Macaca fascicularis: one gene and its partner. The protein of the gene in region 1 purifies or fractionates together with the protein of each later gene. This does not show direct contact. Links are inferred from orthologs where the notes say so. Each region holds a gene or a part of one and is shown in the gene's direction. Other genes may lie near its edges.

Region 1 (3,656 bases):
GTAAAGACAAAAGTATTTTTCTCCTGTACTTTTTCCTAGAAGTTTTATTATTTTAGGTTTTATATTTAGGTATATGATCTATTTTTACTTTTATTTTTGCTATTTTTGCATATAATATGGGCATAGGTCAGAGTTTTTTGTTTTTTAAATACGTATATCCTGTTGTAGAGTATCATTTGTTGAAGAAACAAAAGGAGTAGAATGGATATAGATGGTATGTGAACTTCTTGGAACATCTTCAAGAAGCCCTATCAGTTTAAAAACAAATACTTGAGAAACACTGTCACATTATATATAGATAAAAATATTTGATTCCATATTTTTTGGAGGGAAGGTAGTGGATTGTGGCTCAAATGTAATGGAAGAGTGAACATTGAAGAAAGATGAGCAGTTATATTGTGAAAGATCATGTTGTAGGAATACTAAGTTAATAGTATCTGAAACTGTTAAGTAGTTCACTTTAAGCACAAAATAAATTGTGTATAATAGTGTTTTTTGGGAGTCAACTTGTTCCCCTTTGTAGGTGCAGACGCTTTTCTTTTTGTTGTTGTTGTGTTAATGGATTGAATTAGAAAATACCATGATATATTGGCCGGGCGCGGTGGCTCAAGCCTGTAATCCCAGCACTTTGGAGGCCGAGACGGGCGGATCACGAGGTCAGGAGATCGAGACCATCCTGGCTAACACGGTGAAACCCCGTCTCTACTAAAAAAATACAAAAAACTAGCCGGGCGAGGTGGCGGGCGCCTGTAGTCCCAGCTACTCGGGAGGCTGAGGCAGGAGAATGGTCTAAACCCGAGAGGCAGAGCTTGCAGTGAGCTGAGATCCGGCCACTGCACCCCAGCCTGGGTGACAGAGCAAGACTCTGTCTCAAAAAAAAAAAAAAAAAAAAAAAAAAAAAAAAAAAAAAGAAAATACCATGATATATAACACACAGTAAGATGTATATTGTTTTATGATAATTTTGTTCCCGTTAGATATGTATGTGTTCTGGGTTGTGATGTAAAATGTTTTTACTGTGGGGTACAATGAAAGATTTGAAAGCCATTTTTTCTAGAATGGTCAGGTTATATTGATATGGAACAATTTTAAAAAATAATTTTCCTCATATGTTTTAGGTGTGAGTTCTTGATACGAATGAAAGGTCAAGAGTTTGTTGATGAGATTCAAGGTAGATATCCTCATCTTCTTGAACAGGTAAATATATTTTTAAAATCAACAACTTTGAATTCTGCTTTATAATAAAAATACTATTAGATTGGTGCAAAAGTAATCATGGTTTTTGCCATTGAAAATCATGACCAAAACCGTGACCACTTTTGTACCAACCTGTATTAGAAGTTATACTTATTTCTCTTTTATTAATTGTAGGTACATATTTTCATTGATGTTAATGACAACTTTGATTTTTACTTTTGTAATCAACTTGATTGTTTAGGGCTTTTTAAAAAGATTGTTGTTTGTTTTTACTATTTTGAAAAATCATTTATGCTGCCACTGTACAAATTTGTGATGGGATTAGAGAAGGAGGTTTAGTGTCTCTTTGCTGTTTTCCAGAAAAACAAACAAAAAATAACTTGTTAGGCTCTGAGACCCTTTGAGAGTAACCCAGTTAAAATCTTATTTTCCTAATGGAATGAGAAACCACTGATACATTTTTCTACTTTCCTGAAACTAGAGAAATACTTGAATTCTAATTTGGGATAACATGAAATTTAAGGAAATCTATGTGATTAGGGTGAAAGAAAGCAAAGTAAAGCTCATAAATCACTCAGTTCTCAATAGAATATATACATATACTTAACATAAACTTACTTTAGTGTTGTTCCTTTCAGATTGTTGGGGATATCTGATTTTACCTATTAACTTTTCTCTTGTTTCATAGCTGTTGTCAACTTCGGATACTACTGGAGACGAAAATGCTGACCCACCAAGTATGTATGAAATAATTTTAAGTATAGAGTGTAAATTTTTATAAGAATTTTAGGAATAGGCTGGGTGCAGTGGCTCATGCCTGTAATCCTAACACTTTGAGAGGCCGAGGTTGGCAGATCACCTGAGGTCAGGAGTTCGAGACCAGCCTGGCCAACATAGTAAACCCCGTCTCTACTAAAAATACAAAAATTAGCCAGGCGTGATGCGCCTGTAGTCTCAGCTACTCGGGAGGCTGAGGCAGGAGAATTGCTTGAACCCAGGAGGCGGAGGTTGCAGTGAACTGAGATTGTGCCATTGCACTTCAGCCTGGGCGACAGAGTGAGACTCGGTCTCCAAAAAAAAACAAATGTAGGAATGAAAGTATGTACTTTTTAAAAGAGTTTCTGAAGCCATAGGGAAAAATACTGGGAAGTCAGCTAATAAATATTTTATATATATATATATATATGCTTACACACTAGTTTTTGTTCTAGTGCTATACTTACCACTTTTAGTGCTGACATTCCAACTGGAGAAATGAGACATAAGCAAAAGAAAAACAACAGATAGCTTGAAGCAATGCCAAATAAGCGGTGCAAATAATAAGCCCCCCAGATAATAAGCCCCCCAGAAAAGAAAAGGTTGCTGTGAGCTAGCATGATTTGGAAAAGCAGTTCACATATGATTTACGAATTGGACTAGATGTTAGGTATTTAAGTCAGGTATGTTGTATTTCAACGCAAGGGCAGGAAATAGTATAGCTTTTGATTAGAGCTTAATGTTAGCCACATCTGCCAGTTTATGTAATATACATATGTTATGGTGTCTAAAATGGCTAAGGTAATAATCCACTGTTTTATGTACCAAGGGCCATTCTGTTTGTGGCACAGCATTTCAAGAAAGATACTGGTAGATTTGTTAACTGGACCAGAGAAAGGTGACCAAGATGTATGAATCTTAGAAACCATGGCTCAGGAGGACTGGATGAAGGATTTGGTAGTATTTGACTGGGAAATAGGAAGGAGAGTACCTGGGTACATGACAGCTATCTCTTGTGTAATGGACCTAGAAAAGATAGATAGCAGTGTGGGCTGTTCTTAAAATTTTTAACCACTGCTGTCAAGTAGGCTCCCCTGAAGTTCTACCGTAGTTCCTAATAAAATCACTTTGTCAATCTTTAAATGACTGTTTCTTGTTTTCTTTCTTGGTAATTTTCTAACACTCTCTTCCCACCTTGTCAGTTTATAACCTTGCTTCCCTAAGAAAATAGAATCCAAAAGAGAGCTGCTTTATTGCCTCACCAGCAAAACCACAAGGCTACATAATTTATCCTTGTACTTTTCTTTCTGTTCGTTCATAAGAGATGAATTGTTCTTTCCTTTTTCTAAGGCCAATACTTCCACTTTTCCTCTGTATTCCATCCCCTGCTGCCAACTTAAGAAGGTTACTTTGGCAGTGACATACCCTTTCTCTCGAGTCTTCAATTTTTCCATCTCTCCTGAATCATTCATGTTAGCATATAAACATAATGTACTTTTGCTAATCCTAGGAAAACTTCCATGAACCAATGTCCCCATTCAGCTATTATCTTATTACTCTGCTTCCCTTTACAACAAAATACCTAGGAAGATTTATCTATGCTTACTCTGTTTTACTTTCTCACCTTTCATTCTTTCTCTTACTTGTTCTGCTGGAACTGTTCTTGTCATGGTAACCAAGGACTGCCATGTTAGCAAATCCAC
Region 2 (3,656 bases), on another chromosome or scaffold:
TCAGCTCACTGCAAGCTCCCCCTCCCGGGTTCACACCATTCTCCCGCCTCAGCCTCCCGAGTAGCTGGGACTACAGGCGCCTGCCACCTCGCCCGGCTAGTTTTTTGTATTTTTTAGTAGAGACGGAGTTTCACTGCCAGCTTTAATTTCTTAAGCTAATTTATATTTGCTAATCTATGAACAGCTGTGTAATTTATTAAAATTTTTAAGTTTATTGGTCTCTGAAAATAATAGAGCTTCACTAATTTTGAACTTTAAGAATCAGTTTAGGCCGGGCGCGGTGGCTCAAGCCTGTAATCCCAGCACTTTGGGAGGCCGAGGCGGGTGGATCACGAGGTCAGGAGATCGAGACTATCCTGGCTAACATGGTGAAACCCCGTCTCTACTAAAAATACAAAAAACTAGCCGGGCGTGGTGGCGAGCACCTGTAGTCTCAGCTACTTGGGAGGCTGAGGCGGGAGAATGGCGTGAACCCGGGAGGCGGAGCTTGCAGTGAGCCGAGATCACGCCACTGCACTCCAGCCTGGGAGACACAGCGAGACTCCGTCTCAAAAAAAAAAAAAAAAAAAAAAGAATCAGTTTAAAGTCAAATAGTATCCACTGAATATCATTCTGAGATTATTAGAACTTCATTTTCATTTTATATTTCAAGGAATTTGCAACTTAAACATTATTTATCCCTCCAGGGATAGAAATTGGTTAAAGAAAAAAAAAAGTTCTCTGTTACTGTTTGGTGATACGTTTTTAAGACTGTACTAATTTGGTAATTGTGATACAACAGTTTCAAATTTGCTTGAAGGTTTGCGGCATCTGTATTCTTCAGTACAAACTTGTGTCTTATTTCATTGCTGTATTTTCACAGTCATTGTAATAAAATAGCAAAATGAATGGATTAACAATATAAGGGAAACTATGGCATTTAAGATAGACACCAAAGGTCAACCATGGTGTTCTCTTAATTTCTTAAAACTTAGCAGACAAGTTTCTGGTCATTATAATTTTATAATTTGTATTTGTCCCTTTGATTTTTATCAACACTTCCTTAGTGTTTGTGTACCCTAAAAATAAATTTAGAAGTGTGTTTATTTGAAAGACACAAAATCTTAATTTTTTAAGTTAGTGTGTATTTTTTAAAAAATCATTTTAATATAGTATTTGTTGTTTCATTTGTGCTTTTTTTTTCTTTAAGGAATAAATGCTAAATTACAGTTTTGATCCTTACTGAAGGATCAGGAAATCGTAGATTGAATCCTTGACTGATATGTGTTTAAATAAGATAATCCTTTTTTTTTTTTTTTTCCTGAGACGGAGTCTTGCTCAGTCTACCAGGCTGGAGTACAGTGGCGCGATCTCGGCTCACTGCAAGCTCCACCTCCCAGGTTCATGCTATTCTCCTGCCTCAGCCTCCCAAGTAGCTGGGACTACAGGCGCCCACCACCATGCCCGGCTAATTTTTTTTGTATTTTTAGTAGGACGGGATTTCACCGTGTTAGCCAGGATAGTCTCGATCTCCTGACCTCATGATCCACCCACCTCGGCCTCCCAAAGTGCTGGGACTACAGGCATGAGCCACCGCGCCTGGCCAAATAAGATAATCTTTAAAACTTTTACGGTGCTTTAAGTGTCTTCAATCACAAATGTTTGTAGCAATTACAAGTACATTCCTGGAGCCAGTTTGTATCTCATAAATCACAATACCTGCAAAATGACAATGTGGGCAACTCATATCTATTTATATTATTAATGGATGGTAAATAATGTGTTCATGTCTGTCAGTAAATATCAGGCTAACTGGTTTTTATGTCAGCAGACTGAGAACTATGAGCAGAGAATACGTGAACAACAGGAACAGCTGTCACTTCAACAAACTATTATTGACAAGCTAAAATCACAGTTACTTCTTGTGAATTCCACTCAAGGTATGTGCATGTTAATTTTTTATGTATTTCTAGAACCTCTTGGTGAAAAGTGTAAGCTGAGTTCTTCTGTTTTATTCCTTCGTTGTTTCTCAGTAGTTTTGATATTATAACTGTGGTACAGTTATATGTTACATTTATTTAAATGAACACTTGCAGGATATGGGAAAGTGGACTTTCACCTATACTATTCTATACTATACTATACTATACTATACTATACTATACTATACTATACTATACTATACAATACAGTGGAACTCTAAGTTTATAAAACTTTCTAAAAAGCAATTTGCCAGTAAATAGCAGCAAAAGCTTTTGAAAACATCCATGCCTTTTGAACCAAAAACTCAAGTCCTAAGACTATATCATGAGAAAACATTTGTTCAGGTACTCAAAAATATATATGCAAGGATGTGTATCGCAGTATAATTTCTAATCATGGAAAGCTAGAAACAAATATTCAATAGTTACAGTGATCTATATGAATAGCTATGTAGCCAAGAAAAGTGATAATAAGTATTAACTTGTAAGAATATGTTGATGATATATAGCAAAATGAACGAAGCAGGATACGTAAATAAGTGTTATTTTCATTTATGCAGAAAAAGGTGATTCTTGTGTGAATTTATGTGTTTAGGAACAGAAGTATTAACTGGAATAATTCACAGGTGATAAAAATTTGGGTAACATTTACTTTTTATTCTTTTTGGCTGTCTGCATTTTCTAATTTTCCTATGATAAGCATGGAGTCATAATACAAATAATTATCTTAAATAAGAAATGCATACCTGAAAATATGACTTATATAAAAGTTGAATTGTTGCTGACAGGGGCAAAGAGCATATTTCTAGTTTTCTAAATTCTGTATATTTTACATACTGCTGACTTTTGGAGAGCAGGGGTTTTGTATGTTTAGTGGGAAGGAAAAAATGTAAATGGACAACTTGTCAAAGTAACTATTACCTAAAGAATTTTCTAAAACTCCTACCTTAAAATCTATTCTCTTTACGGTTTTGAGTTTGTATTACTTTTGCTTTTTCAGGTGGTACCAAAAATAAGGGTTTTCTGCTAATATCCAAGAGGTTTTTGTCTTGCAGATGGCAATTATGGCTGTGTTCCTCTGCTTGAAGACAGTGAAACAAGGAAGAATAATTTGACTGTTGATCAGCCACATAATAAAGTGATTTCAGGAATAGCAAAGGAAAAGCTACCAAAGGTAGACATTGCTTCTGCAGAAAGCAGCATTCAAATGCTGATGCGTAACCTAGCTTCCTCATTTTATTTTTCTGAAGTGATCTACCACGGGAATTCCAAACAGAAGTTCCATGTATATAAATATGTGACTTAAATATTTCTGAATAGAAGAACTATTTTCAAGTAAAATAAAGGCTAAGGTTTTGTATTTCCTACTAACCTTTTTTCTACATCACAAGCATTTCAACAAAGAAAAGATTTAACAAAGAAATAGGACTGGGCACAGTGACTCACTCCTGTAATTCAAACACTTTGGGAGGTGAAGGAGGGAGGTTCACTTGAGCTCAACAGTTTGAGACCAGCCTGGGCAACATAGGGGGACCCCTATCTGTATAAAAAATTTAAAAATTAGCCACACAGGATGGCACATGCCTGTAGTCCCAGCTACTCAGTGGGCCGAGGTGGGAGGATTGCTTGGGCCTGAGAGATCAAGGCTGCTACAGTGACCCATGATCATGACACTGCATTCCAGCTTGGGCAACA

The links. Proteins that work in one complex are often made in the same cells at the same time.
Region 2: the proteins of BIRC2 (region 1) and TANK purify together in Homo sapiens (affinity purification with mass spectrometry; 4 studies listed by BioGRID and IntAct, with this or other methods). This does not show direct contact. The link is inferred for Macaca fascicularis from reciprocal best matches to the Homo sapiens genes BIRC2 and TANK.

What each region holds. Positions count from the first base shown.
Region 1 is NC_088388.1:101,372,300-101,375,955, forward strand, and holds part of BIRC2 (baculoviral IAP repeat-containing protein 2), read left to right. Parts: intron 1-1,118; coding exon 1,119-1,197; intron 1,198-1,885; coding exon 1,886-1,934; intron 1,935-3,656. UniProt on the Homo sapiens protein: Multi-functional protein which regulates not only caspases and apoptosis, but also modulates inflammatory signaling and immunity, mitogenic kinase signaling, and cell proliferation, as well as cell invasion and metastasis.
Region 2 is NC_088386.1:56,627,777-56,631,432, forward strand, and holds part of TANK (TRAF family member-associated NF-kappa-B activator), read left to right. Parts: intron 1-1,810; coding exon 1,811-1,919; intron 1,920-3,016; coding exon 3,017-3,135; intron 3,136-3,656.